Rhinolophus ferrumequinum: one gene and its partners. The protein of the gene in region 3 interacts with the protein of the main gene of each other region in a biochemical or structural test. Links are inferred from orthologs where the notes say so. Each region holds a gene or a part of one and is shown on either strand. Other genes may lie near its edges.

What was found.
Region 1: the proteins of SNTB1 (region 3) and MAPK12 interact in a test that uses a peptide from one of them, tested with the Homo sapiens proteins (2 studies listed by IntAct, with this or other methods). The link is inferred for Rhinolophus ferrumequinum from reciprocal best matches to the Homo sapiens genes SNTB1 and MAPK12.
Region 2: the proteins of SNTB1 (region 3) and FRMPD4 interact in a test that uses a peptide from one of them, tested with the Homo sapiens proteins (2 studies listed by IntAct, with this or other methods). The link is inferred for Rhinolophus ferrumequinum from reciprocal best matches to the Homo sapiens genes SNTB1 and FRMPD4.
Region 4: the proteins of SNTB1 (region 3) and TANC1 interact in a test that uses a peptide from one of them, tested with the Homo sapiens proteins (2 studies listed by IntAct, with this or other methods). The link is inferred for Rhinolophus ferrumequinum from reciprocal best matches to the Homo sapiens genes SNTB1 and TANC1.

The regions. Positions count from the first base shown.
Region 1 is NC_046293.1:438,930-447,082, reverse strand, and holds the start of MAPK12 (mitogen-activated protein kinase 12), read right to left. Parts: upstream 3,122-8,153; 5' UTR 2,812-3,121; coding exon 2,687-2,811; intron 2,586-2,686; coding exon 2,456-2,585; intron 1-2,455. Other genes in the region: MAPK11 (mitogen-activated protein kinase 11), read right to left, coding at 6,044-6,126, 6,447-6,620, 6,715-6,793, 7,150-7,229, 7,450-7,524, 7,851-7,965, 8,037-8,153. UniProt on the Homo sapiens protein: Serine/threonine kinase which acts as an essential component of the MAP kinase signal transduction pathway.
Region 2 is NC_046284.1:117,976,836-117,984,075, reverse strand, and holds the start of FRMPD4 (FERM and PDZ domain-containing protein 4), read left to right. Parts: upstream 1-4,019; 5' UTR 4,020-4,248; intron 4,249-7,240. UniProt on the Homo sapiens protein: Positive regulator of dendritic spine morphogenesis and density. Required for the maintenance of excitatory synaptic transmission. Binds phosphatidylinositol 4,5-bisphosphate.
Region 3 is NC_046297.1:58,868,070-58,876,131, reverse strand, and holds the start of SNTB1 (beta-1-syntrophin), read left to right. Parts: upstream 1-4,963; 5' UTR 4,964-5,296; coding exon 5,297-5,867; intron 5,868-8,062. UniProt on the Homo sapiens protein: Adapter protein that binds to and probably organizes the subcellular localization of a variety of membrane proteins. May link various receptors to the actin cytoskeleton and the dystrophin glycoprotein complex.
Region 4 is NC_046291.1:63,164,682-63,172,169, forward strand, and holds the start of TANC1 (protein TANC1), read right to left. Parts: upstream 3,032-7,488; 5' UTR 1,657-3,031; intron 1-1,656. UniProt on the Homo sapiens protein: May be a scaffold component in the postsynaptic density.

The DNA of each region.
Region 1 (8,153 bases), on a different chromosome or scaffold from region 3:
GGGCACAGCCCTGAGTCTGGCACGGTGCTCTGGGCAGAAAAGCCCCCTGCAGCTGTCCCCATCGCTCCCCACTGTGCGCAGGGCCTGGCTCTACCTACTGGCAGCACTGACGTGGCCCTGGCACACCTGCCAGGCTATTTTGGGACAGTGACAGCCGGGATCCTCAGGGGAGGGGCGGCCCCCTAATCTGGATCAGCTCCCAGCCGTCCAAGGAGCTCCAGTTCCTTGGCCCTTCCTCCCCTTCTTCCTGTCCCCATTGAAGACCTAGGACCAGGATGGGGACAGCCTCCCAGGGGAGAGCAAACATCCGGCAGGTACTTCTCAGGGCTGTGCCTCTGCTGGAGAGGCCCAGGCAGGCAGCACTATGACCAAACCAACAGTCAGACCTGGTCCTGCAGACCCCTGGTCAGGACTGAGGGACAGCAGACAGGTAATGTGACAATGGGAGCCCAGGGCTCAGGGTGACAGGGTGTCCAAGGACCCAGTGAGGCCTGCATATCCGAGTAGCCGAAGGAGCACGCTGGTGAGCCATGGGTGGCAGGGACACCTGGCAGAGGCAATGTGAATGGTAGCGGAGGCAGGATGGAGAACACTTGGAGCATCTGAGAAACATGGTGAGGAAGGCCAGGTGGCCGAGGGCCAGGCCAGGGAGTCACCACGCAGAGATCAGAGGGAGCCTAAGCAAGCCCTCACATGCCAGGTGGAGGTTTGGGTTTGGTCCTACAGCCGCCAAGAAAGGGTTTAAACAGGCATTATGTTGAATGTGGGGACAGACCGGAGTGAGGCGAGAGTGGACATGAGGTGAAGGGACAGCTAGATGACCACCAGGGCCAGAGCCATGAGCAAGCGGGGAGGAGGGAGCAGAGCAGGACACCCAGAGAGGTGAGGCCTGGGGCACTGGGAGAGTGTTTGAGCAAGAAGAGGACAGAGGACAGAGTCCCTGAGATTAAGGGGCCATCAGGTTAATGGAGACTTCTGTGCCTCTGAGGTAGAGATGGCAGCCGGAGTGGGGGGGAGGGGCAGGAGCGGGACATGTGAGTCCCCACCACCACTGCAGTCAGCCTCTCAGAGCCTCAGTGTCCTCCAAGGAAAATGGGCTCACGATAGGCGGCGCCTCCCAGCTTGTGTGCAGGGTGCTCAGGACATGGCAATGTCCAGTTTGGGCAGGTCAGGAGCTCCACAGGGATGGTAAGACCCTTGGCACAATGGGGGCGGCCCCAGCACAGATGACTGAACACAAAGTCCAGAGCCCTTGGGACGGGCAGGATGGGTGGTGGGAGTGTGTGTGCGGGGGGGCGGGGGGGAAAGCCAAATGAAGCCTGGTAGAGGAAGGGGTCAAGGCACAGGCGTGACCAGGATGTAATAAAGCCCAGGCTGCGCTGGTGTCCACCACGAGTGGATGTCACCTGGGAAGAGCCAAGGGTGGTGATGGGAAACTTGGGAGAATGAAGGACCTACCCAAGGGGCTAAGAGGGTAGGCATCAGCCAGAAACCCAGGGGACAAGTTTCCTGGGGACTCCTCATCCCGAGGGGAGGCTGTGGGCTCCAATGACCCAGGAGGGGCCAGACCATATGTCAGGAGCATGATTAGCCAGGGCCTGGGTGCCCAGACCACAAGCCCTCAGACGGCCCAGACTGGGCATGAGGCAGGAGTGGCTTGGGGAGTGGGGGTGGGCAGAGTTCTCATCCCCTGGGGGAAGCAAGGAGAAATCCCATGGCAGAGGAAGGCTCTTAGCAGCCAGCAATGGCACCAGAGAGGCCCATGGCAGACATGTGTGGTGTCCCATGGACAGGTCTGGAAGCATGGGGGTGGGGGACTTTCCCAGGTGGGGGCCCAGGTCCAGCCCTCCACACTGTCCACAAAACCCCAGCCAGAGCTGTGAAGGAAGCATCTGTGTGCTGGCCACTGGCCCAGTGTCCTCCACCACCGGAGACCCCAAGGCTCTGAGGTGACAGAGCCAGGATGCTGACTCCAATTCCATGCCTAGCTCTGCATTCCCAGGGACCCCAGGTCCTGGGGCTGCTGCTCAGGAGATGGACTGGAGCACGGTGAGTTCAGGAGAGCATCTGGGTGAGGCTGCGGGGGTGTCCCTTCCAGGAAAATAGCTCCACAGAATTTGGGGTGAGACCTGGACAATGGCCTCAGCCTGGACAAGCGTCCATCCCCTCACCAGGGCCTGGGCTGCGGAGACAGACGTGACCCCAGGAAGAAGCAGAGGCACCTTCCCAAAGACTGGCCTGGGAGGAGAGGACTAGACCCCAGGGAAGTCTCTCAGAAAGAGGTGGGCTCTGCCCTCACCACCTGCAGCCCCCACCCTTCTCCAGAGGCTGCCCTGACCCCCACCTACGCGGCACCACACAGGGGGTCCGGGTAGGTGGGACCTGGAGTTTTGGGGCAGGAAGACGAGCAGAGGCGATGGACGGGTGTCCAGAGCGGAGGCCCAGCGCGACTCACGTTCTCGTGGCGCATGTGCTTGAGGAGACGCAGCTCTCGATAGGCGCGCTTGGCGAACAGCTCCGATTGGAAGGGCCGGTACAGCTTCTTGATGGCCACTTTGGCGCCTGTGCGGCTGTCCACGGCCGAGCTGCGGGACGCACGGCTTAGCGGGAGGGTCGGGCCAACCCGCCCGGATACCCGCCAACTGGCCGGCCACACGGCCGGCCACCCCGCCCGGCTTGCGCTCACCAGACGGCGCCGTAGGCGCCGGAGCCCACGGGCTGCAGGTCCTGGTACACCACGCGCACCTCCCAGGTGGTCTTGGTCACCTCCTGGCGGTAAAAGCCCCTGCGGGCGGGCGGCGGAGAGCTCATGGCCGGACCGGGTGCCGGCCCCGCCGCAGACCCCTCGGGCGCCGCGCCCGAGCACCGGGCCGGGATCGGCGGGACTCCCTGGGCGAGCGCCCGGGGCCACCGCGCGTTTACTCCGCTCCGGGTTCTTTCCTCCGGTTCGCTTGAGCCGCCGACCCCGGCCCGACCCCAACCTTGCCTGGGTAGCGCCCTGTTCCTCCCCTGCCTGCGGACCAACCGGCCCCAGGGCCGCGCGCACGTGATACCCCCGCCCGCCCTCCAGCCTCTCCGGAAACCCGAGGCGGCGGCCGCCGGGAAGGCGGGAGGGGGTGGTGGGGGGAGCGCCGCCCGCAGCTCAGCCCAACCTCGGACCGGACGCGGCGTCTGAGACCCGCCGCCTCCTCAGTCGGGCTGAACTCCCCCGCCTGCGCGTGGGGTGTCTTAGCAGGGGCCCCGGTCTTACTAGCCCTGTCCCCAGGGCGCTGAGCCCACAGGACTTCTGTCCCCAGCCAGGTCACTGCCCACCCCCCATCCGACCCCCCCCTTAGCTGAGCGCTGTGTTCCCAAAGTCAAATCCCCACCCCCAGGAGGCCCCCTTCCCTGTGCTGATCCGTCCATCCCCCAGTATGGGTGCCCCTTCCCAAGGTGGGTAGTTGGTTCTGCCTCCCGCACTTAGGCTGCATCCCCAACACCCTTCCCGGTGACCACTGACCCCAGGCCTCCCAAACCCTGGAGCTGGAGCGTGTGGACCTGTGCACTGCCAGTGCTCTTTGCTTCTCCTCAGTTTGGCAGGTGGGAGCCTGCTCCAAGCACTTCCAAGTTCCTCTGCCTGCTCCCCCCACACACAGCTTACTGCCCCGTTTGTCCTTCAGAGCCCTGCTCCAGCCTCTCCGTTCGCTGGGGAAGGTGTGCCTGACCCCAGGGGTGAAGCAGGGCCCTACCCTGGCTCTCAGCACCTCGCTACTCCTCCATGGGGCACCATCCTTTCATGAGCCAGGTCACGTCCCCATCCTGGACCAGCCACTTTTGAAGGATAGAGCCCCCAGCCCCTTCCCACATCCTCTCCCAGCCCAGTGACCCAGGTCTGAGAGGGAGCGGGGTTACAGGACCCCGGGGCCCCTGCCCCGCCCTCTGTGCCCAGCCAGCCACCATGAATCAGCAGCTCAAGCCCAGCCAGCCAGCTTTACACCTGGTCTGCCGACTGGCTGGCGATTCTGAGCACTCAGGAGCTGGAGACTAGCCAGTGGGGACAGCCTGGGGTTACTGGAGCCACAACCAACTGTACCCCATGCCCTCATGTCCTGGGCTGCCTGTGGCACTCCACCTGCCTCGGCCAGGAAGCTCCCACCTGGCCCCCTTACTCTCTGGTGCGGCCCAGCAGGGTTCCCATTCAGACCAGACCCCCAGGTGGGGCATCTCAGCCCTGCTGCCATCCCCCACCCCACACACACAAGACTTGGCCCAGCTTGATCTCCAGGTTCCCCAAGATCTGAAGCCCAGTAGTCCTGCTGACCAGGCCCCTAGAGGTCCAACTCCCAGATGGTTTCCACCTCTAAAGCCCAGGGTAAGGACACAGAATGTCCCTGCCGTGGAGACACCCTGCCTGACGCCCATTGGGGCCCAGGCCCTCCCCCACCTGAGCTGCAGTGAGCAGTAGAGGCCAGTAGCTCAGTGTGCATCTGGAGAGCTGAAATGATCCTCTTTCCCCTTAACTAGGAAGGAAGGCTATTTCCTCCACCCCACCCAGCTCCAGGCAGGGCAGGCCTTCGTGCCCGGCCGCCTCCCTGACCACTGAGTGAAGGGGCAGTCTGGATCTGGACCAGGCGCTGAGCCTGTCCAATGAACCCCCAGCAGGGCAGCAGGCTCGGGTGTGGGAGGCCATCACACTCTGCCCCTCAGGGCCCCTGGCTGGGTAAAGCACAGAGGGTGCTGAAGATCTGGGTACCCAAGTGATCTGGCCAGTGCAGGCCTCTTGTGGGTGCAGGCCAGGCCAGGTGGGTGTGTGATGCAGAGACCTGGCCACCCCTTCGGGCAGTGGGGGCAGCAGGGCAGCTCTTGAAGCCTGGGACACAGCTGAACGAGGGGGAACTTCCTTTATTGCGAGAGCCTGGTGCGTGCCCTTGACACTCAGACCTCCCTGGGTCCTGCGAGGTCACCACCTGACAGCACCATCTGACACAGAAGTCCCTCGAGGGAGGACCCACAGCCCCAATGCGTTTGGAGCAGGGTCCTGTCCCAGAGGTGACTAGGTCAGCTCCATTCTGGCGGGAAGGATGAGGGCCGACCCGCAGACCAGAGCACCTCAGCTCTGAGAACAGGCAGAGGTGTCTTCATCAGCTCTGGGCCAAGGTCCAGGGTCCGAGTCCAGGTCCACCTCGATGTGTGCCAGCCCCCTTAGCGTCCCCCCGGCCCCTCCCGTGCTCGCTAGCTCCCCAGCTGGCACCGTGCCCTCATGCCTCAGAAACTCAAGGAGAACGCCCCAGCTTTTGCTAGCATGGCTGCACCTTGCTCACCTGAGCCCCTCACAGGGTGCACAGCAGGATCTCAGCAAATCCCCCATGACATCAGAAACTGGGGGGAGGCAAATATAGCCACCCCAACTTGAGCCTCCAGCTGGTCATGGCCACTAGCCCTCAGGCACCCACAGACTCACACATGCCTGCACACACCTTGACATGTAAATACCAGGACACACATTAGTGCATTTGTACCACACAGCACAGGGAAACACGACTCCAGGCGGATTTTCTGATTCGACACTTGGTGGCTGTCCCTGCCCTGACACCCTCCAGGGGAGACCCTGCCCAGCAACGACGGCTTTGGATCTCAGCATTTCCCAGGCTGAGCAGCTCTGACCACTGAGACCCCTCCTCTTTTGAGTCTTCAGAGTACCCTGACTCCAATGCACCACCCCCTAAAGGTAACCCACGGACTGAGGAGACCTGGAGACAGACACACTCCCCAGGGGGATTCCCTAGGCATCCAGGCCCCCCCACAGTGAGGCTCCAAGGGAGGGGGCAGGAGGACCAAGGAGGGCCGGCATGCTCGGCCCAGACTCCTGCACCCACGGCTGGCACACATGCAGCATCCCACCTGGAGCATCGTGCTGACCAGGGGTCCCAGGCCACGGGTCAAGGCTGCCAGCCACAGTGGTGCTGGGAGGCACCCCTGTGGGAACCCGGCAGGCTGAGGAAGGGGGGCAGGCAGGTGCAGTCCCCTCCTTGAGTTCCAGTGTGGCTGGCCGGCAGTGTTCCTGTCACTGCTCAATCTCCAGACTGCCAGACGGCTGCTGTGGTGGCTCTGGGGGCTTAAAGCTGAGGACTTCCTGGTAGGTGAGCTCTGGAGGGGAGTGAGGGGAAAGCTGAACTCATGCTTCCAGCAGCTCAGCACTGCGCATCTGCTTGTCTGGTGCCAGTCACCCAGCCAGGCCCACCACCCTCAGTCCACGGGCCTTCCAGAGCCTGCCCCATGCTTCCCCGGCCTCTTCTGGACACACCAACCCCATCTCTAACCGCCCCACCCCAGAGCTGGGGGCCACGTTGTGCCCCTCCCAGACCACCCTGAGGAGCTAAGGCACTTCCCGCACAGGCCTCCACGGGAAGGCAGCCCTCAGGCCCTGGGTTTCACCTCTCCCACCCCCGCCCGGCCCCCCTGCCCACCCTTCCACTCCTCCACAGTGCGGTCCTTTGCTTCAACGCTTTCATCGTAGGGCTCGGCCTCGGGCTCATCATCCGGGTCATGGTACTGGCTGAAGTAGGCGTGGGCCAGGGCATCGGCTGCACTGACCCTCTGGTCACTGTCCAGCACCAGCATCCTTCCCAGGAGGTCCACAGCTGCAGAGTGGTCAGGGGAAGGCAGGGGCTGGAGGGCAGCTCTGCATCCAGGGCCAGACGTGGAGCCCAGCCCAGACCCAGGGCCCATCCTCACCCAGGGGGTTGGCTCCACAGAAGATGCTCCTGAGGTCCTTCTGGGGCATGGGGGGCAGGGACTGGATGTATGTCCGGGCCTGTGGGCACATGGAAGGGCCTGAGGGGGCTGCTCACACCCTATTTACCCTGGCCCCAAACTAGGCAGGGGCTCGTTGAGAGAAAGCCCCACTCTCATGCAGTCCAACAGGCCTGGGCAGGGACCTGCATGGAGCAGAGACCACCTCCTTTGCCTCTGGTGGCTCCAGCATCTCACTCCCAGTGCCTTGGCCAGGGCACTGTTGTCAGTGCTGCAATTTTGCCCTCGCTGCCCCTCATGTCCACCTGCTCCCCCCGAAGGAGTCAGGCTGCCGCCTTAGGTTCCATTCCACGTGGCCCACGCTCCCCACATGGTGTCTGGTGCATGCCCCCACCGCCCTGCCTCCAGAGGACTCACATGTTCGGAGGATATCTTTGCCAGAACCTCAGGGCTCGGTGTGCCCACCACTTCCATGATACGCTTCAGCTGGTCGATGTCTGCCTGGCTCAGGAAATGCCCACTGCCAGGCCGCCAGATCCCAGATCTTGGGGCACTGCCCAGAACCTGCTCTCCTACAGCTGGGGACCATGAGCCCACGATGGCACGGCATGGGACACAGGAAGCAAGACTAGCCAGAAAGAGCCCACCTCCCTTGTCCCCCATCCCGCAGGAAGGGACACTGGCTCAACCCTCCTCCCCAACCTGCGCCAAGGATACAGTCATTTCCTGGGAAAAGGGCTTTTCCTTGGAGCAGCTCAGCCATGATGCAGCCCACAGACCAGATGTCCACTGCTGGGGAAGGGGTCTCCATCAGCCTGTCCACCCCAGGTCCCTCCTCAGAGGACTGGGGGGCTGCCTAGACGGCGCCAGTCCAGTTCCCAAATCGTACCCGGGTCCCTTCCTCCTCTAGACACAGCCCTGGGCAAGACGCACCATACTCTGCTCCTCTGAAGGCCTGTTTCTGAAAGGCCTGCTCCCAGACCTTGCAGTCCCCCACGACTGGAACACCTCCACTTAGTTGGCTTTGGGCTCCCCACCCCCATCCCCTAGGCCCTGGCATGAGCTCAGCCTGCCCACCCTGGTCCCAAGCCACAGGCAGCCCCATGAGTTGACGTCACCCGTCTGGTTGTAGTGCATCCAGTTGAGCATGATCTCAGGTGCGCGGTACCAGCGCGTGGCCACGTAGCCGGTCATCTCCTCGTCAGCCTGGCGCGCCAGCCCGAAGTCCAGGATCTAGAGCAAGCGCCTGGGGTCAGCGCCTCCCGGAAGCCCCGCCCCTCTGCCCCGCCCCCTCCAGGGCTCACCCTGAGCTCGCAGTCCTCGTTCACTGCCACGTTGCTGGGCTTCAGGTCCTGCAGGACGGCGGGCTGTGAGCGCAGCAAGCGCAGCGCGGGTCCTGCAGGGGCCCGACCCTCACCCGC
Region 2 (7,240 bases), on a different chromosome or scaffold from region 3:
TAGACATATGTTTTCATCTCCACTGGGTAACCATCCAAGGAGCGAAATACCTATAAGTAAGACTATGGAAAGTATATGAGAAAGTGTCAAACTCTTCCAAATATGTCACACCATTTATATCCCCACCAACAGTGTATAAGCATCCTGTTGCTCTGTATCCTGGCTACCACTTGTTAATGCTAACCTTTCCATTTAAACTAACTGGGTTTATAGTAGCATCTCATTGTTTTAATTTGCATTTCTTGATCACTAATGACACTGAGTATCTTTTCATGTGCTTATTGGCCATCTATCTATAATCTTCTTTTGTGAAGTGTTATTTTCAAGGCCCATTTCAAAACCATAGTTGTTTGTCTTTTTTATTGTTGATTGTAGCAGTTCTATTTAGCATCCGGATTCGCGTACTTTGTCATGGGTTGTGTATTACAAATCTGATCACAGCCTGTGGTTTGCCTTTTCATTTCCTAATGGTGTCTTTTGGTGAGCAGAAGCTTTTCATTTTGATGAAATGCAGTGTATCACTTTTTATTTTATTGTTAATGCTTTATGGGTCACGTTTAACAAAATCTTTGATTACGACAACATCAAGAAGATATTTTCCTATGATTTTTCTCAAGAAATGTTAGGGTTTTTGCATTTACATTTAGGCCTATGATCTTATGAAGGTATTTCTATTTACTTCTTACATAAAAATCTGTCAGAGACATGAACAATTTGTTTCACAAAACATCTCTTTGTGAAAATAATGGCATGCAAAACATATGTCCTAAAAATAAGTTATTCAGAGTGTCCTATTGAGTTGCAATCCTGTATCGGTAAGCAAGTGATTTAGAAAATCAGCTGTCTTTCAGTCTGTTGCTAATTATTATAGAACTCGCTTTGTAATAACATGGGAAAGTGTATCTGGCTGAATTCAGTTTTGCTAACAAAAGAATGTGCGGTCTTCTACATCCATTTCTTTGACACAGATGCATTTTGCAATTCGAAGTAATTTCTTATCAATGGCATATTGTTTCTAGAAGTCACTATGGTTTTGGAAATGTCTACCCTCAGTGTCTATAAAGAACAACTCATCAGCCTTTTTCTTTTCTGAGTGGCACGCGGTGAACTGTCCAAGAGGTGCTGAGGGTGGTCTGTGTCAGCATCAAGGCCACCAGTTACAGATCATCTCCATCTTGATTTCCAAGCAGAAACTGCAGGAAAGTTCAGTTGGCAGATGGAAATGTTTCCCTCCCTTCCTCTTTTTTCCATTCATCAAACATCTGAAGGCACCTCTGGTGTCCTGGGGTAGTACACGTCATTAGAGGAGCACCAAGGATGCTTCTTGACCATTCAATATAGTTTTCTTATTAATGTTTACCTACATGAAATCTGTGAATAAATAGCTTTATCAGTCAAAGTTCTCTAGAGACACAGAACCAATAGGATATATTTGCATATATGTGTGTGTGTGTACACACACCCACACTCGCCCCCACACACACACAAAAGAAATTTATTCTAAGGACTTGCCCCACAAAATTGTGGGGCCTGGCAAGTCTGAAATCTGTAGGGCAGTCTGGCAGGCTGGAAACTCAGGCAGGAGTTGATGTTGTAGTCTTAAGTTCTAAGTGTATAGGGTAAGCCACCAGTCTAGAAATTCAGGCAAGATTTCTCTGTTAACAGTCTTAAGGCAGAATTCCTTATGCTCCAGGAAACCTCAGTTTTTGCTCTTAAGGCCTTCAACTGATTGGATAAGACCCACCCACAGTACAGAGTGTAATCTCCTTTACTTAAAGACAACTGATTGTAGATGTTAATACCATCTACAGAATACCTTCACTAAGTTAGTATTTGACCAACCAAGCAACCGTAGCCTAGACAAGTTGACGCATAAAATTTAATCATCACAATAATATTTGGCAGATTCTTGACTATTAGGTCATTTGGAACCAAAATATTTTACAATAAAGCCCAATTTTTTCAAAAGCAATATAATTTATCAGAAATCTTGTCATAGAGGATTGCATGCATTCAAAGCTTTGTATAATGAAAATATTGTTGCTTACTTGAAAGTAAACAATGTCTACCATAGGCATACAGTAGTGGCTTCGTTTCTATAGAAATGGTAAAGGGGGCGTAGGGTCCTTTCACTTAGATCCAGGTAGCAAATACACTTAGCAGTGAATACCCCAAGCCTTATCGTTTCTTCTGGAAATAAAGCTTAAGTGTTGAAACTGATAAAAACCAGACTGTTCTGTGTTGGAGCTAGAGCTCATTCTGCCCTTGCCTCTCTCCCGGAGCCCCAAAGGCTTTTCAAACTCCATCTTGTCTGTGAAACCACCAATGTTTCATCTTACACAAACTTTCTACAGGGATAATACCACCCTGTGGGTGGCTGGAAGCTGCTAGGCCTCCCTCCTGGGCTCCTTTCTCTACCCTTACCCCGTCAGATCAGAGACTTTATCCAATCTCATGGTTTTGGATACTATCTGTATGCTGATGACTTGCAAATTTATTATTCCAGCCTAGACTTTTCTGCAGCCCCCGCAGGCTCAAACTTATGATGTTGCTATTTGATTGTCTAAAGGGCATCTAACCATTCTGGTACCCAGTTCCTGGGGAGGGGGAGGGAGACGGGGGTTGGCTACACCACCAAGCAATTCTCTGAGAAACTATGTTTTTTAAATGGGACTTGAAAATACACTTCACAAAAGTTTATAGGTAGATGGCCAATAAGACCATGAAAAGTCGTACAATTTCAGAGTATTTAGAAACTTACAGCAATTAGAGACATTGCGTGTCTTTTCATTCTAATAATTTTTTGAAAGACTTGTATTTTGAATGTGTTTTTTATTTCATGTTTTCTAGTGATTCATTGTTGTTGTATTTACAAAGGTCTTGTTTTGGACATTTTTAAACATTTTGTTTTTCACCACAGAAGTTTGAGAGACACTATTCTACAGCAAGAGGCTGACAAACGACAGCACTTGGACTGGCTGCCTGGTTTTGCAAATAAAGTTTTATCGGCACACAGCCATACCCATTTATTTCTGTACTATCTATGGCTGCTTTTACATTACAGAGGCAGAGTTGAGTAGTTGTGACAGAGATCATTTGTCCCACTAAGCGGGAAACATCCACTATCTCACCCATTATGGGAAAAATTGGCTGACCCCTGTTCTGCTCTGTCTCCCCAGCTGGATTGAGCTCCAGTGGCTCACAGTGATAACGTGCTTGCTGACATACCTTCTATCACGTTCTTTCCCCTCCCTGTCACATTTTCTCATTCCTTGCCAGGGTTTCCTAGATCTCCCAAATGAACACCTTGTACTCACATTCTTGACCCAAAGTCCACTTCTGGGGGAACCCAACCAATGTGCACATGATGTCCTTATTTTTCTAATCCCAGGCCAAAATGCTAGCAGAGTAGGAACCACTTTCTAGTGTCCACCTCAGCACGGCAGTTAAACTATCACACGTATATCAATTATAATTAAAAATAAATAAAAAATAGTATCAAAAGAAAGTGCAAAAAAAAAAAAAAAGCTATCACACTGCACCCCTCCCCACTGTCCCGGGTCTTCTGCAACACCCTGTGAAAATTCAACTCTGTGGGCATGAATTTTTCTGATTCATTTGCTCTCACCACGGGTGCTGGAGGAGAGGATAAAGAGGAGGGTGAGGAAAGAAAATCCCCTCTTGCCCTACATAGGATACTCCCTTGTGACATTAGCAGCCTGCTTGGAGTCAATCCCCAGGTGTCCATGCACCTGAGTAGAGGCCAGTTGTTTTCAGCCTCAGAGGACGTGCCCAAGTCATTGCCCACCCTCACTTTGTCACTGCTGCTTTCATTTGTCTCTGCCTGCTCCTCCTAATTACTTGGGTCATTCCAGATTTTAATTCTGTCTTCTAAAGTGTAACACCGCCATAATTAGGCCATATGTTAATTAGCAAGATGACGTCTTGTCACTCGTGAGAGATGTGGATCATCCCAGAAAGTGCCATAGAAAGGGGAGTGAAGCGGGAAGAGGAAGTCTGAGGAGGCTGCAAGTAACTCTGCTAAGCCCAAACTGACTAGAGAACAGGAGAAAATGGCGGGATGCAAGAAGGGGAGAGGATGGGGTCACACAAAGAAAAAGGGCTAGAATTGACCTCTTTTGCACTCCAGGAATGAGATGGAAGCCAGGAGGCATGTCTGATGCCAAGAAGCCACCAGGGATGGCAGAATCTTCTGAAGGACAGGAGGTGGACAGGGCTGAGGTCAAGGTGAGTGTCAGGCATACTCCCAACTCTGATCCTAGATGCCTGTGGCGATGCTGTTCAAAACGCAAGGCTAAACTCGGCCTCTATGGCCACTCTAAGTGTCCTCCAGGAAATCTGAAGGAGTAGGGTTCTGGTAGCCTGGGGACTGTTTCTATCTGCTATTTGTTAACTGAATGTTGGCTCCCCGTTTTCTGTTAACTGAACTTATTTTCTGACATTCTTGGGATAAGAAAGTTGGAAAGAGGATTGGGCAGGATATGATAATTTCCTATTTCAGATAGTGTCACTTTATCACTCGGGAGACAATTTTCCAGGAAACTGATTACTCAGGGAATTCATGATGGGGTGCAATGACGTGAATTGTAAAGATATTAACCTCCTTGCAGTCTGCTGTCAAAACATGATGTGATGAGAATTTGTTCTGTCATCACCCAACTAATGGATGAAAGGGGCTAGGATAGTTGTTTTACGTCGTGTATTTGCCTGCATTTCAAAAGGCATTTGACACAGGAACTCTCAATGCATACCAAAGGGGAAATTTTGAAGGTAAAGTTTGTGTTAATGATAATATTAGTAAGTATTATTATTGTCATTGCTGATATTTGTTGAGTTCCTAGTATATTTTAAACCTGTACAGGCATTGCTTCTAACACGTCTGACAACCCTTCAGGGAAAGTCTTATGATCCCCATTTAATTTCAGGTTCACAGACATTGAATCGTACTCAAAGATCACACTGTCAGATGAGTGAAAACTGAAATCCATGTTTGTTTGTTTGTTTTTCTTGAAATCTAATGTTTGAGCTCTTGTCAGTAGACCAGGGTCACTATACTTTTTCTGTAAGGGGCCAGATAGTAAATATTTTCAGTTTGCCAGCCAGATGGTGTATGTTGTGACTATTCAGTTCTGCCGCTGTAGTGCATAGGCAGGCAGAGACAATACCTAAATGAATGAGTGTGGCTATGTTCCAATAAAACTTTATTTACAGACACTAAAATTTGTTTTTAATATATTTTTCACATGTCATGAATTATTATTGTTCTTCGGAACTTTTTCCTGTTTAAAAATGGTAAAATCATTCTCATGGGCTGTACAAAAACAGGTGGCAGACCCGGTTTGGCCTGCGGGCTGTAGTTTGCTGACCCCTGTACTATAGGAAACTGTCTATCTAACAATGACTTAGGAAAATAATGATGCGAAAGCAACTGAGCTACATATTTTACGTAAGGGAGCCAAGTCAGCTACAGGAAAACGTATCAGCCCTGAAGCTGTAACAAACAATAGTTCTCATTCTGGCTCTCCCATCACAAGAAGTGTATAAATTTAGGTCCATCTCAAAAGCTTCTGAGTCTTCCTCTCATCTCCCAGAGATAGATCCCTACAGTTCCATCATTCTTTGATTCTAGTCATAGTATGCATGCATCGAATGATTTCCATAAAATCAGAATTCGAATCTGAGACAATTCCTTGGATGGTGCCAGATTTCAATCTCCAGTCCTGCCTTTTCTCCCAACTCCAGGTTCTTATATGCAAGTGTCTCCACTTACTGTTAGGTGCCTCGAACTTCACTTGTTCACAAGCAAACTCTTGCCCACAAACATGTGAACAAGTGAAGTTTGAGGCACCTAACAGACATAAGTGGAGACAGTTGCATATAAGAACCTGGGGTGGGGAGAAAAAGCAGGACTAGAGATTGAAATTTGGGAGTCATCAACATGTGGATTGAATCTGGGTATATGATAGCATTGAATAAAATCTTTTAGGGCAAACTTTCCATTGGCATTTGGGGTCAGATAATTGTTTGTTGCGGGGCAACAAAAGGCTGAGGATGGTCCCCAAGGACTCCAACTGTGGAGGTCAGAAAGAGGAGGAAGAAATAGGAAAAGACACTGAAAAGGAGTGGCCAGTGAAACAAGAGAAAAACTCAGATGTGGGGTCCCAGCGTCCCAACTGTTTGGGCTGGACTTGGCTTGATAGTTGATGAAAGGCAGAGCGTTACAAGAAGTAATGGTCCATAGCTCGGGGCTGAGCCGCAGTGAACTCCACCATATTTCCTTTATGGGAATCTCCCCGCCCCAGTGGCAGGACGGGCACATGAAGCATTGAGGGCATACATTTTCTAACTGCATGGAGCCTGAAGATAGCGAAACGGACAGTGTTTTCTAGTGGGGAATTAAACGAAATCGGAGGTTACAAGTAACATTTAGAAACCAAAGGTAGAGACATGTTTCTTCTTGTTTTATTTTTAGAAATAATTCCTGGAGGATAAATATTGTTTGGGTTCAGAAGAAAAACAAGAGCAGAAATAGAGTTGCTATGGTTTTGAGGGAATGCAAAAGGGACTTCCGACCTGGAGCTTTTGCCATTCTGGGCTGCAGGGTGGATCCTCTTTGCTGTGTGATCTCTTCACTCACTTCATGCCTCATGGTAGTTAACAACAACCAAAAAAGTGAACAGATTGTGAACTTTCTCTTTATACGTCTAAAACCTGAAGAGCTATGACTTATTAAAGGTACAATATAAAGGTTAAGACAACCAACTCCTCATATGGAAATTAATGACATTACACAAGAGTATCTCTAGCCACAGGCCTGATACCGAAGGACCAAAAGGAGAGGGAAATGCTTTGTCTTCTATTGTTAAGTCTTCTCACTCCAAAATGGAAATAATCCATTTATCTCATGAGATTATTATGTAAAAGTGCCTAACAGTGCTCAGGGCATAGTTGGGCTTTCATCAATGTTTAGAAATAATAACAACGCGTATCCTGGTTATGGTGATCATTATGCCCGTCTACACATGCAATAAAATTCCATAGAACTGGACACTGCACCCCCACCCCAAGAAAGTGCAGCCAAAGAGTATAATCCACATAAGATTATTAGTTGAGTGAACAGTATTGTATCAAATCCATGTCAGTTTTCTGGTTTGGGCGATGCACTATAGTTAGGTAAGATGTTCTCATTTGGGGAAGCTGGGTGGAGGGTACACAGAAC
Region 3 (8,062 bases):
CAGAGTATGGAAGGAATTTTCTCAGGGATCAAGGGAGAGTACGCAGGCATGATTCCATAAAGGAAGTGGAGATGGTGTGAAAAAGAGTTAGCATTTCCCTCACAGATAGACCTCTACTTCTCAAGGTTCCAAAAGTAAGTCAACAAGCAACCTCTGGGGGCCTGAAGGTTAGCTTAGCAAGATCCTGAAATACTTAGTTGAAATTTCATTTCTTTTTCATTTCATCTGATGTTAAAGATGTGTATGGGAGAAATTTTGATTCCTTCTTCCTCTTCACCCTCGCACCAGGACATCTTGTATCCCTATTTAGACCAACTTGCTAAAAAGCTCCGAGAATGTGGTGCATGCCTTGCTTACCAGGATTTCAAAGAGCCATTTTATTCAACGTCTTTAATAAGGGATCGAACCTAGCATTCCACAGTTCTTAAAAAAGAATCAAATGTATGAACCCGTAGGAAAAGTGACTTAAATTTATATCATAGATATTAAAAGACTGCTATAAGGCTTGTTTCAACAGCCGGTTGTCATGGAAGGGAAGTAAAGGGAGTACAACTCAGTATGAGAAGGTAGAACATAAACATCTAAGTATTTTCAATCCTGCCTTGGGCTAGTCTGATCCTGGAAGCAAGTCCCCACTGTAACATTCTAAAATGAGTGAGCAATCAAATAACTCTCACCTGACTGACTGTCTGGCTGAGAATATAGGTAGTGGTCTATCTAGTTTATCAAGGACCCGCCCAGGTAAATGCCAGACACATGCAATAGAGGGTGTTTGCCAACCCATTTAAAATTGATGAAGTACCTGCTTGCCAACTGGGGCATCCCTGCTCAGCCTTCTGTTCATATGCCAACCCCCAGTCTCAGTGCTTTATCACTAACCCAGCATTACAATTTTACAGGAGCAGGTAGTCAATAAGCACTTAATCAGTGTGCATTTACATAGGGACTCAGGAGTTTTACATTTCCAGCCTCCCTCCTGCTCCTCTCTCAGTCTGTTCTCTAACTTCCCCTCAGATATCCAGGAGGTCTCCACTTCCTCCTCTTCGCTATTCACCTTGAATCCACTGTCCATCCTGTATATGGAATAATCCCCCAAAAGATGCTCCACCTGTTATTCAGGAAACAGTGCCAAACGTACAATGATCATATTTGCAAACCTAAACTTTGGCACACGTGCTCTCACCAGTAGAAGTTTACTCAGTAGGTAATAGGAAGTAATATTTGAAATCAAGACTGTCCCTGGCTATCCAAAATATATGGTTGTTGAAGCTCGTAGAAGACAAGGAGGATGGTGGTCTGTGTCATAATCCGCCAGGGCCCTACCTGTGATCCGGTCCAACCTATTTCTCTGATCTCTAATCTCTCTCTTCCTCCCATGAGTTGCCCCAGCCACTCTGACCTCCTTTTGGTCCCTTGAACCAGACAAGCTTGGTTCTGTCTCAGGTTCTTTGCACTGGCGTTTCCTTCTCCCTGGGACCCTCTTCTTTAGATCTTCCTTAGACCCCCCCCCTCTTCTTATCATCCATGCCCCAAGATCTCCTTGTCTCAGCCCCAAGATCTCCTTCTCACAAAGCCTTTCCTCAACAGTTATTAATCCCCCAGGTGCCCCTTGCTCCTAGTCACTCCAAATCCTATTACTGTGTTTTACTTTCTTCCCAGAATTTACTTCTCCTCGAAAGTATTTTACGTTTGCAGTCTTTCTTCACCTCCACCCTCCCACCCACTACGATGGCACCTCGCGGGGCACTTCTTCGCCAGTTTGTCTGCTCCCATATATGGCACCTAGAACAGTGCCTGGTGCCTGAGACATGGTAGTAGATGTAGGACACTTTGTGGAATGAGTGGATGAACACTGCCGCTCCTGCCACGCACTGTGGCTCACTCATGTGGAGCTGAGGATTGTGTGACCTGCTTTTGGAAGTCTAAGTTCACCCAAACATCTGTAGGAAAATGCACTTCCCACGGGAAAGGAACACACACCAGAGAACCCCAATTTTGCCTGGGTGGGAAATGGGAGCCAAAAGTTCAGGACAGAAGGAGGAAACAAAACAGAAGATGAAACTAAGCAAAAGAAATCTGGTAAAAAAAAAAAAAAAAAAAAAGGAGGGGGGCTTCAGATGTAATGTGTGGAATACTGAAGGTGGGCTGTTAGTCATGGCAACACAGTTGTGGCTTTGTCGCAAACTCCTGATGTGGCTTGCCTCCAATCTGCCATTGTTCTACTCTGAGCTTCAAATGCCACTCTTCTACGATGAGAAAGCTGGAAGTCTCTTCAACCCTTTCCAGTGACCATTCTTCCTAAGGGGAGACCTAGGAGAGTATAATCTGGCCTGACTGTGAGGATTACAGGGCTGCAGTGCAGTAGTCCCACCCAGAACTAAGAAATGAGTTCAGTAAGGTTTACCTTTGAGAGTCAGCATGAATAATCAGAGGCCAGGTATGCAGAGCCAGCTATCTGAGGGATAAGATTGGATTTCTAGGCCTTGAAGACCATAGCAGTAGCCAGTTTCAACATATGAACATGTCTGAAGGGGAAAAAAATGCATCAATTAGGGAAGGGCAGGGTGTTCTCTAACCTTGGAAAGAAGGCGAGGCCAGACCAAAAGCTGGCAGGACCCTTCTATGTGTGGTCTAGGAGAAGGGCCTTCCCGCTCTGGGCTTCCCTCCCAGTGGAAAGTCTGGCCTCAGGGCAAGATGGACACTGTAGCTAACAGGCTGTGAGTATTTTCAGAAAAATGTAGGGCAATGGTTGAGTCCAGACTCTTTATAGTTGACTTCGAATCCTGACTGCCATTTACTAGTCCCATGACTAGTGCTACATGAAACAGTTTTTAAATGAGTCTCTCTACTTTTCCACCTCTAAAATGGGAGTGATGATAACAGTAAGTATCCCCCCAAATTTCTGGAGGGTTAAGTTAGTATGTATAAAGCATGTAGAATAGGGGCTGTTATTATAATAATTCCATTGGCAAAGCCATCTCTATCACGCATGCCTCAGGCCTAATGGTGTTAAATATATGTCTTCCCTCCTTCTGAAGCCACTTTGAACAGCAACCTACTCCTTCCCGCGAAGCTTTGCTTACACAGAAAAAGAAAACAATAACAAAAACATGCTTATTACAAGATTCTGAGAAATTCCCATCGGAGAGCCTGCAATATCTTACGGCAGACTGGTAAATTATTTCTAGTTTTGCCTGGGGCCTCCCACTTTGCTTGACCACAGAGACAAAAGATACAGGTGCGATGCAAATGGAGGATTTTGCATCTGTACAGGAGCAGATCTGTTTTGATTTCTAAATCGTCATACTGGCATTCTAATGCTTCTCTCCACCTTAGTGTGCTTGGGTTAGAACACAGACCCTCAGGCTCTGATCTCAGCGATGTATGTGAGTCCTCAGTGCCTAAAGCAGAGGGAAGTGCCAACTGGTTTTCCCACGGGACAGTGGGACCACCTATGTCAGCTCCCTCTCTGATCCTGCTCACAGCAGCTGCTGTCCCTACCATGGGCACCTTCACATGAAAGAAAGAGCTTTTGGAAAACTGGTAGGTTAAAAATAAGAAAAGGAGGACACTGCAACTAGAAGCATGAATCCAAGGGTTCCCAGCGACCTGTCTACAGTGACTTTTCCTCCTCCTCCTCCTCCTCAAAAATAAATAAATAAATAAATAAATAAATAAATAAATAAATAAATAAAATTGTCCAAATGTTCTCATTTCATTCTGTGACTCTGCCTGGAATACCAACCACCCATTAGGGATTTGTTTGAGTTGTAAACCTTCCTCAGTGAAAAGTGTGAGTCGTTCAAGAAGACTTAGAGAACTTCCAATGATACAAATCAGTGGAAATGTGTTCAATATTTCTTTTCTCTGACACCTTGCTGGATTGGGTTTACCTTCAGGAATTTCATAGATTTTTGAGTTGTTTTTGGAGAGAGGGGAGGAAAATGTGGAAAGGGGAGGTAACCGAGAACATGAAATACTTGGAGAGGCCCATCAGTACTGCTGAGGGTTGGGGGAGAACTTGAGAAGTTCAAGGACCAGGAGGATTCTGGGAGGACTATGACATGGGTTATGTTGGCATTTCCGGATTGACCCGGGAAGGTAACCAACAATTATAATATTGTTCCCTGGGACACAGGCAGCTTGAACTCCAACTAAGCAACTTGTAAAGGAACTTTTGAGGATACAATCCGTTGCAACTGAGTTCCTAAATGGTGGGCTTCCTAGAGAAAATCTTGGGAAGAAAGACCCAGGAAGCATTTGAGAAAAAATATAGGTTGAGAAGCATAGAGCATATAATGAGCTGGAAGAACATTTGTCCCTGGGGTCTGGGGCAGGCAGCTACCTGCTGAAAACCCTGACCAGCAGAGACTCCTCTCCAGAGAGCTGGCGGAAAGAGGTCCTACATTTAAAGAGAGGGAGTTTGGGACCACTCGAGTTATGCTGACGTTTCTTTCATCCTGGGTTCTTGGGACAGCTTTCTCTCCCCCCTCTCAGAGAACTCTGGGCCTCCGTCTGAGTCTACTGAGAGTCTTGCGGTAGGAAGTGACAGGTAAGAAAGAACTCAGCAGAAGCCAAGCCTTGGTTTGAGGAAACTGGAGTGAGAAGACCTGGGTCTAGATACAATCTGGGGATTAGGACTAAAAGACAATTCAACGGGGTGAGTGAAAGGGAAAGTGGCTCAGGAGCATCCAGTAAGGGGACCATGGCAGGGACACACAGACCCAGCAAAGGTGCGGTGTGGGAACCCGCCGCAAAGGGAGAGTCAAGATGCGAGTGCTGGGGCGGTGTGGACGGAAAGCCCTAGGGAAGCTGTCCCTGCAGCGACGGGAACTCCGAGGAGGGAGGCGGGGAGGGTCTGAGCCTGCGGGCGGCGTGTGACCGCCGAGGCTGCGGCAGCTGGAACAGGTGAGCGGCGGGTCCCCGCCCTTCCCCTTCGCGGCGAGCGTGCCTCCTACCGGCTCTCCTCCGCGCTTCGCCGTGCCGCGCTGCCCTGGGTTTGGGGTTTTGCAACTGGCAGCTGGCTTTTTTTTCCCTCCCCTCCCCTGTTTCTGTCTCTCCTTCTTTTAGATTGCTCCACCCCGCCCAGGATCAGGCGAGGGGGGAACCAGCTGGGCTGCGGCTGCCAACTCGCGCCCGGCGCGGCAGCGAACTCCGGGAGTGGAGTCCCGCGTCCTGCCTTTTCCCCTCGGAGCGCGCTCTCCTCGCGCCCCCGGGCCCCGCGGCTCCCCCACGCAACCCTTCCCCACTTTTCCCCCCTTTTGCAATCACATGGCATTTTAAGAATGCCGGAAAGATGGCGGTAGCGGCGGCGGCGGCGGCAGCGGCGGCCGGGCTGGCCAGCGGGGGAGGCGGCCGGGCACAGCGCAGCGGGCTGCTGGAAGTTTTGGTGCGGGATCGCTGGCACAAAGTTCTGGTGAACTTGAGTGAGGACGCCCTGGTTCTGAGCTGCGAGGAGGGCGCTGCGGCGTACAACGGCATCGGGACCGCCACCAATGGCTCGTTCTGCAGGGGCACCGGGCACCCGGGCGCGGGCAGCTCGCAGCCCCCGGACTCACCGGCCGGGGTCCGCACCGCGTTCACCGACCTGCCAGAGCAGGTGCCGGAGTCCATCTCGAACCAGAAGCGTGGCGTGAAGGTGCTGAAGCAGGAGCTGGGAGGCCTGGGCATCAGCATCAAGGGTGGCAAGGAGAACAAGATGCCCATCCTCATCAGCAAGATCTTCAAGGGGCTGGCGGCGGACCAGACCCAAGCCCTGTACGTGGGCGACGCCATCCTGTCGGTGAACGGAGCCGACCTGCGGGACGCCACCCACGACGAGGCAGTGCAGGCGCTGAAGCGCGCTGGCAAGGAAGTGATGCTGGAAGGTAAGGGGTTAACGCCGCGCGCGGGCCGCGCCAGGCGCGCACACCCACTCACCCTCCCACAGCGCTGCTCGCACTCTCACCCACGTGCTGGGGTGTCGGAGGTGGCACGGAGTTTTGACAACTTTTACCCACCTGGGGGTAACTTGTCCCCACCCTAGAGTCGTTACAGGCTTTGACCCAGGAGAGGTGTGTGAAAAGGCGAAGCCAGCAGGGTGTCTTGAACTCCTACTATGTGCCAAGCACGGGGTAGTCTGCTAAGTGCGCACCGTCTCATTTTTATCTGCAGATAAGCCAAGTGTAGTGTAGGGGCTGGGAAGTGGAACTGGAAATGAACTGTAGACGTAGAGAGTCATCATATCCACTGTACGAAGCGAACTCACTGAGTAATCGCAACTCGGATAGTTTTTTGCTTTGTCAGAATTTCCTCCTCAGAAGCCTGGTCAACCCTCCTAAAAGGGTTGAATGGCGACGGGGCCAGAGAGAGGTGGCAGTGTTTGAATGCTCAAACTCCCACCACCCTTCTCGACTTCCCTCCTTTCCAACTGGAAACTGGGGTTATGGCTGGAGAGTTGTGCCAAGGGCTGGGAAGTGAGCTGCAGCTTTATGCAGAAGTTCACTTCTGCTGCCAGGTGTTCGGCCGGTCAGTCGGGATTCCAGGTTGCTCTGGGTGGAAAGCTGGCGAAGTGGTTTTTCTGCCTCTCTTTTCTTGGGATTTTTCCGGAGGGGTGTGAAAACAACTTTGTATTTGTAAACAGTTTCCCCTGCCTGTGAGGCATCTTAGAAACTACTCTCTTGAGAATAGTGTCCTAATTATTGAATGTGAATACAATAGGTAGTGCTTTTTGTACCTATTTGTGGTTATGTGGTGGCATGTGGAGAGAAGGGCAGTAGGGTAGTAAGCGGATAATCGGTTCTTTCCCACCACCGCTGCATTTTTCACTTGATATCTGCCTCTCTGCCACTTAACTGGCTTTGTACATACCCCTGTCAGCACTAATATTGTGTAATTATTTTATAGATTTACTCAGCTTCCCCCTAACTGTAGATTGAGCTGTCTGGGGTCTTTTATTCCGTCATGGGTCATCTCCCTTGGGCTTAGGGGCTCAGTGACAGACTTGTTGAGTGAAGGAACAAATGAACCCATACCTATTGAAATAGAATGTTCTTCTGAAATCTTGTAAACTGGTGGTTAATTTAAGTCCTAAATTAAGGACGTAAGTCAATTTTCTGTTCAACTGATGTGCTGGTATGTGAAACTGAGAAAGTTCAAAGTTGGGAAACCAACTTTGTTATGTGTGACAGCAGATATAACCTCTTGCCTATTTCCCGACCTGGAATAGGGAGGATTTCCCCTCCCTCTTATTTGCCTAAAGGATTCGTGATGTCTTCATATTTAATTGCTACCCTGGATCTAGAAAGTGGAAGGCTATTTGCTTTGGCTTGATGATTAACATAAGTAAACAGAAAAAAGTTTTCTTGACTCCAGCGTGTATTGGTTTGTGTGACAAGGGGCAGGTGAGATCTGGGGGAAGTGTAGTTTGGACTATAAACTGCTGGACACTGGTTCAGCTTGCAATATTTACTGTAAAATATCAGGGAAGACAAAGGCAGGTCATTTTTATTTCAGGCACTGCCCTTCATTATATCCCTTCTATTCGTCTGCTTGATTTCATTTTAATGAATAATGCCTTAGCAAAGAGGTAAAAAAAAAAAAAAAATCTCTCACCCAAAAAGAGGAAGAAAAGGTGACTCCCTGCAGTTGAAAATAAACAAACAAAAGACCATCAACCCGTTATGTGACTTTATTGATGTGCCACGTGAAAAGTGAGTTTTGTAAAAACCTCTAACATGACCTTTTACAACACATTGTCATATGTGGCAGGCAGCACGTCCGGGGAAGACCTCTGGGCCTTCTAGACAAGAACCAGCTGGGCTAAGGGCAGCGGTCTTATTTCCAGCCTCAGCTTGCAGAAACTGACGGCTCTTAAGAGAAGCAAGTAGAGGCCCCACTCAAAAGAGTGTCTTTTATTCTGAGCGAAGTGTTGGTCCTATTAGATGTGGTAGGAGTGATCATATGCCGTCAAATCAAACGGCAGACATCCTCTCATTTGTAGTGCGGCCTAGTACACAATTTCCCTGCTGAAGGGGCTTATCAGAATCATTGGAAGGGCTTTTTAAGACACGTATCTACTTGT
Region 4 (7,488 bases), on a different chromosome or scaffold from region 3:
AACATCTCTCAGTCCCTCATAAATTCTTTCATTCCCAGCAATCAAGAAGCAGCTGTTAAATCCAGGCATGGGAAGACCTCCAAGCTAGCCAGAGAAGCTTCACAACTGCTTTCTTCTCCTTCCCCTCCCCCCATCCCAGGAGTGCCAGCCTGGCAGGAATAAAGATGACCCAGGAAGGAAAAACAGAGCGAGCAGCCGATCTGGTGAAAGCAGAGATGCAGACTCCCTTCATTTCCACCACAGAGAAACACCAACTCTCTGTACCAACAAACCAGGTTTCTCTTTTCCTCTCCCATTCCCACCGCCTTCAAACACATTATTAACGTCTGCAGTCTGGTGGTCTGGTATTTCCAGAGCTAGGGACCTCAGCGATCCTAAGCCCTTTCCTCAAAAGATCTTGAACCAGGCACTTCCTCCCTGTGCCAGAGCTGGAGGCCCATCCCACGGGAAGATTCAGCTTCTCTTTACCTTGTAACCCGCCCAGACGGCGCTGCAACTCGGGTCAAGTTCAAGATGAAGGTGCCCTCCTAACCTCTCCGAGTTGACTCCAACAGGGGACAGCGCTACCGAGACGAGTCCCATCACTCCAGGCATGGGGATCTGGGGCTGCCGAGAGTGGCCTGGAGGCAGTTCAGAGGCGAAGACTACGACAGTCTCTCAGCCCCGCGTCTCCGACCCCCTGGCCGCGGCGCCTGATTTCTACCTGGCCACCGCCGCATTTCCTCCCGGAGCCTTGTACAATAAGTCAAGTAAGTTTTGAGAACGCTTGTCCTGAGACATTTCTGCCTGCAAACACAACACACAATGCTTAGGGCTTCCTTCCTAGCCAGCCGTTCCGGAAAGCTGCCGCGCCAAAGCCGGGAGCCCCGCACACCCCCAGCATTGTTCGCCTGCACCCCAAAGTCCTTCAGGAAGACGGTGCGCCCTGACATAAGTACCCTCAAAGTGACCACTCTCCAAAGAACGGGGGGATTTACAATCTTGATACAATTCTCGTCTTTCTCAGCTCTCCCTCAATACCTAATCCTACCTGGCTCACCCCCCACCACCAAAGGAACATAGATATGCTCATTGCAATGTTCTTCCAAGCGAAGCAATAGACTTTCAGCCCAGACTGGGGTATTACGACATCACCCTCCTCTGGCTTAAGTTCACCCAGCAACTTCGCGATCCGTGCTCCCCTACACTCGGAGGTCACCCTGGACCCCGCGGTGCTGGGAGCGCCTCTCCCTCGCCTCCCCCGCCCCAGGTACCAGGCGTAGCCCAAGCCCTTGCCAAGCCCGAGGGCTACAGAGGAGGCGAGAAAGGGGGCGAGGAGGCCGGGGGATTGTGCGTCCTGGGTGCCCTCGAATCCCAGCTCCGCCGGGGCCGGTTCGGTACAGCTAGGAGGGGATGGCGAAGGGAAGGCGCAGACTCTCCAGAGACGCCAGGACCAAGGCCCGGGGTGCCCAACATGTCTGTTCCTATCCCCGGAAAGCTCCTCAGTGTACCCAGTGGGGGGCGGGGGAGGATCCAGAAACTTTCCCACATGCCTTTCCACTCTCCCCATCACCCTCTCCTCCTCCCCGGGACCCTCTCCTCCCCTCTGCTCCGCTGCATCTGGCCGTGCCCCGGGCGCACAGAGGCCTGCTGCGGCGCCAGGGCGGCGGGAGTTACCTGCTGGGAAAGTTTCCAGCTCCTCGGCGCGATTCCCCACCCCCAGGGCTGGGCCTCCGGGTGCGGCCAGCTCGGCGCTCCGCGGCTGCCTCTCCTCCCGCTTCCGAAGCGGCCGCTGCTGCTGCAGCTGCCACAGCAAAGGCTGCGATCCCGCCCGTCCCCCCGCCTCGCACGGCCCACACCAGGGCCTCATTGGCAGCCCGAATCCCCGCCCTTGCGCGTGTTCCCGAAGGCACCTTCCTCTCGCGCGCGGGCCCGGGCAGCGCCTCCCGCACCCCTCCCCGCCCTGGGCTGCCGGGGCTCCCGGGACCCGTTGGATCGCGGCGCTCGAACTTTCCGCGGGGTTCAGGCCCGGCGCCCCCCTGCTCCGTCTCTCCCGGCCAGGTCTCCAGCTTTCCTCAAGGGGGCTAGTCCCTCGAGTCTGAGCTTGAGTCACTCCCGGACTGGATCAAGATGGGTGATAGTCTTTTTTTTCAATCTCTTTAAAATCAGTGAAGTGACCCGGCCTCCCCTCCTTGCTGCTTTTTAAAAACAACCGAGAAGGACATATGGGAGCAATTAACAAAGCTGAAGTTTTGGTGGATTCTTTAAGGTGACTTGTGTGACTTGTCTTGAATTTTCTCTGCCTCACTTAACTACACACACACACACACACACACACACACAAAAAAAAAACACACACTCACTTTCTGTGCAACAATGTGCTAAGATAATGGAAGGTGTAAGGAGCATCTCGCCTGCTTGCTGTGTCTTTCTTTCGCCAGAGCGAATTGGGGACGTTTAGGGACCGGAGATTGCCCTGGCGTCCCCGGGGCCCGGTGTCTACAGCCTCCTCTGACAGCTCCAGGCTGGCCCTGTGCTGTCTGTGCTACATCTACCGAAGGCTAACGACGGGCTTTTATCCGCGGGAGGAGTAGGTATGGAGCCGGGAGAATACAAAGATGCTATTATTGTTTTGGCTGGTAGGAGTGAGTGAAATTCCCAAGTTCCCAAAATGTTTTGTTATTCCCCAGTAGACCGAGATCCGGGATAGGGCCTACTGTTTCAGGAGTCCTGGTTTCGCTGGCTTCTCCTAGGAATCCCAGGCAGCCTGGGATTCCTATTCAGGCTGGGGAGCTCAGCCCACTCCACACCCAAAGCCCTTTAGACCAGACCAGACCGGCCTTGGTCACCGAAGGATCAACCAGGACTGCTGTGCCTTGTGTGGCCTGCGGGACTTGTGCAGGAGTCACCCCAACGGTGTGTCTGTAACTGGGAATACAGAAGTTGCTATAAATGGATTTATTGGCAACCTCTAACCTTGCTGTGGCAAACCCGCCTTTAAAGACAACTGTTTTAAACAAGTTCCCCCATAAAAACTTCAACCTCACGCAGAGCTTCCCAATGTAAAGATATCCGGGGAGGGGAGTGTCCATACCTAAAGTTCTTATGAAAAGGGGCAGGAAGCAAAATGCCACACTAATCGCTCTACATAAATAAAAGATGCTGAAATTTGCTGGATTTTTCACCCATGTTTCAAAGGCCTGATTATTTCTGCACTGATATTTGAGCAGTAAACATATCAGCAGCATTGAAGTTCTCCTGAAACAAAGCAAGACAGAAACATTTAAAGTAAAATATCAATTTATTAAACCAGAAAAACCTTTGACTTATTTCTTCACTCTGAAATGTCTCATTGCTGAAAAATACTGTAATATGTTTTATTTAACTTCTCTTGAAATGCATAAAAGTTAGCAATCTTTCAACAATAGATGAAAAAGCCAGACAGCAACCTTAATGATGAAAGAATGACACAAACAAAAGAAAAAAAGAGAAACTCCATGGTAGTTTTAACTAATCTGAAATATTGAGATATAAAAGAAACAATCCCGGAGAAATAGACTGGTCTGATTCCCTGCCTCAGACTTCTTTATAATTGGTAAAATGTATAATGGCAGAAATCGACAATTTGTATCACATTCTGTCTTTGGCTTTTCTAAGCTATATTCACCAAGTTTTTGATGAAATCGCGTAGTTAAATTGGGTTTTGAAGACAGTGAAATTCATTTTTTCCTCTCTATCCTCAGAGCTCCCTAAGTAGTAAGTAGAAAAACACATAAAGTAAATACGTTAATTACTGGAATCGTCTTTAGATTCTGTTTAGTTGAAAAAATGTCTTCAGAGTTTCAGAAGTCACAGTCACGAAAGAAATAACTTCATCACTGCCTAGTTAGGAGTGCTTAATATTCGAAACAGGCATATAGCTAGCAATCTGAAATTTGTACACAGAGGGCCCTGTCTCCCCTTCTTCCTGTAGTGCTTATATAATCCAAACTACATATGTTATTATGCACAATCTGATCTCCAGCTTTAAACAGCTAACATTACATACAGTATGTTATACTAAGAACATCAAAGCTGTCTGAAGCTGTGAGTGAAAATGGTACATTTTATAGAAGACAAGGCCAAAAACACCGAGTAATAAAAATTCATGGATGAGGGGGAAAAGGGGACCCATTAAGATCAAGTCTGTAAGAAAATATTTGAACATTTTCTAAGCATCAAATATGTGAAGTATTAGCTGAGCACAGGTTCAAAAAAATGATATTTGATGCTTTTTTTAAACCTGCTTTTCCTTTTAAAAATGTTAAATGTTTTTAGTTAGTTGTTAGGTGATGGTTTATTTGTATTTTAGGGGGAAGGGAGAGCAAGAATCACCTCTTGCTTTTCTTGGGGGTATTTCAGCTCATCCCATTAAGTTTAAAAAGCTCACTCATTACATTTCTGTTGATTCCAACTGAAAAAGAAATATGGATCACATGACTATTATATACTGAACACATTCACCAAACATATATACCATATACTGGATTCCATTTTTAAAGTTTCTGTCAGTCTGCCAGCAATGTAGCTTTTCTCAGTAGAATGCAAGAAAACAGCAAATAAACTGGTTATTTTACCGTGCAATTTACAGCCCAGGGCAATAGGCTGAGGAAGGCGTGAGAAAAGAATGTGGCTTGTGCGTGTTAGAATGCTTTTTCTCTTGCTCAGATTCTTAAGTACTTCTATTTTAAATCAAGCCTAAGTTAGGATCATAGCCAGTGTTTATTATAGTATGTGTAGTATAGAATACATAGTGAGAAGTGAAATGTTTAAAACAGTGTAGTAATTAAATACAAAAACTGAGACAGGACTTAAAAAAAAAAAATTAAGGCAAGGTAGGGAATCCAGACTCAAAATAATTCAGCCCACAAACACTTTTCACCTACTTTGGAGTATCTTTTAATGTTTACAGAATTCATTCTACTTTGGTCCATTCATTCTTCCTTTCCCTTTTAACATTTTGGGGAGAAAAGGAATTTTTAAAGACATGGGAATACTGAAATAGTTGGATTATAGGTAGAAATCAGCTGGGAAAAGCAATGAAATTACATACCCCTACACAGTCCGTGCATGTGTAACGATCCATGGTCACACACACATACGGATGCCATGGTCAGATGTCAGCTAATGGCAGACATTCGTCCAGGGATATTGAAAGCCATAGCTGTGCACAGTTAGCCAGGCAGTTAAATTAAAAAAGTCATCTAATGGGACATTTAAACACCTCTTCAGGTCTAGCATATGGCCTGGCGATATTGTAGAAACTCATCCAATAGGGGTGACGCAGTGAATTATTAATATTTAAACCGATAAGGAATCCATCGAGGAAAGAAAGTAGGGAGATAGATTCAGGGGTTCACATTTCCTTATAAGAATGTAGGAGTAACTAAAAGCCTGGGAGAATCTGGTTTAAGATGGCATGCCATCTGACTAGCATTTTAAATATAGATTTAGACCAATCTTCTGATGGTGAAATGATCTATAAAGAGATATAGAAATTTCCCATGTTCAGGAAGGGTGAGGTAATATAATCAGGTAGTAATCCCGCCAATAAATGTTGTTGAATCTGGCTAAGATGGCTTAAAAAGAAATGTGCCGTTTAACTTTGAATATAACAAATGCATTTTAATATTCTCCTCCCTGGGAATGATGCTTTCCCTCCTCTCAGCAAGTTGTATAAAAAGGCATTGACATAGGAGTCATAATATCTGGATTCCAGTTCTGACTTTGGCAATTGTAATTCCTGGCAATTCATTTATACTTTTTGAGCCTTGCCTCCCTCATCTATGAAATAAGGAGTACAGCATAGGATTGCCACCTCACACAGTTGCCAGGAAGATTAAATAAAATAAGGTGACACGCATTTAATAAATTAGAAAATGCTCTACAAAAGCTAACTTTTATTTAACAGACAATAAACTATGTTTTTCCCTCCCCATTACCTAGGACCAGTTTGGTTGGAATAACAACCTAAAGGCTTGATTGGAGCAGTCCAGAATACCACATTTGCCAAATGTGAAAGGAAGAGAGCCTTAAAGATGATTTAGTAGTACATAATAACTCCAATTAAGCTCTCAGAGGCTCATCTGGGGGTAAATTGGCAGTTCTTGTCTCAAACAGTAGTCAGGAACCATTTACAGAGTTATATTTTTTCCTGTGTTAGTGTTAAGGAGGGATAGTGTAGCATATGTACAATACATGGGTATCTCAGTTTATGCAGATCGACATATGGAAATTCCTAAATACACAATAGATTCATTTAAAGGAAATGTTTTCTTTAAAATATTCTTGCTGAGATTCTTTGCAAGTGCCACTACAATCTGATTTACATTTTTAATTACTAACCATCCTTTCAATTTTGTGAAATAGTATTGATAAACACTCATGAGATTAGGAGCTTCACCCACATAAATATTTTCTGTAAGACCAAGCACTATTCAAAACTCCTTTGCAAAGGAGTTTTATATTTGTATTTATTTGAAGAAATATAAATCAGAGAATAGCACCCACCAAAAGTTTTGGTTTCAGAGGGTGAAGAGCCTAGCCAAAATGGACACTTTGGTTTTGTTCAAAAATCAATTTGCTGGTCCCCCTTTGATGATCAGACAACCTAATCCAGAAAAAGAGGAGGAATATTGATACTATTGTTGATGATGATGATCAATTTTCTAGAAGGGAGAGAGGTGTCCCCACTAAAGGGCAATGCAGAATAGATGGAAGCTACTTCCAAGCCAAATTGTACGTAAAGCAGGATTCCTGCATCTAGAAGACTAGTTTTTCAACTAGTCTTGGGATTTTAATACAATAATTAGAAGTTCTATTAAAGATCTGAACATTTTAGATTTAGGGCAGAAATGTTTAAATATAAACTTTTGCTCTCTATAACTTTCATGTATGTCACGTCTAACTGTTTCAATGGCTTTAACAGGAGTCATGTCTGCCTAAGAGAAAATAGGGCACTATGTAATTATCAGGAGAAATTAAACTACTGGGCTTCATTAGCGAAGTCACCCCTTACCTAGAGCATTTGCTCTAAAAAACAGCTACTTAGTAAAGATTGATTTGACCTCCTAGTGAGCTGTAGCTAAAGCCCTGTTACCTTTCCGTGAATTCAAAGCTCTTCCTAAACCTCTTTTTGCTTTTACAGCTAATCTATTGCTTCTCACTCTTCAAGGTTTTCAGTGCCTTTGAAAAGACCACCTGAAGGGAAAGAGATTACGGATACAATTAGAATAGAAACAAGTTAAAACAAGACGTCAGGAACCCAAAATACGACAGCAACACTGGGGGTTAAAATTGGATGGTATCCTCTTAGGTTCTTCCTGCTCTTTCTCATTCTCTACACTCTCATCCTACCTTCAGGAGCCAACCAGGATGTTAGAGGCCTAAATCTTGACAAGGAATTGGTACCGTTATCGAAAGGAAAAAAAAAATGTCCTAATGTTTATCTGGGAACCCATATTTATCTTA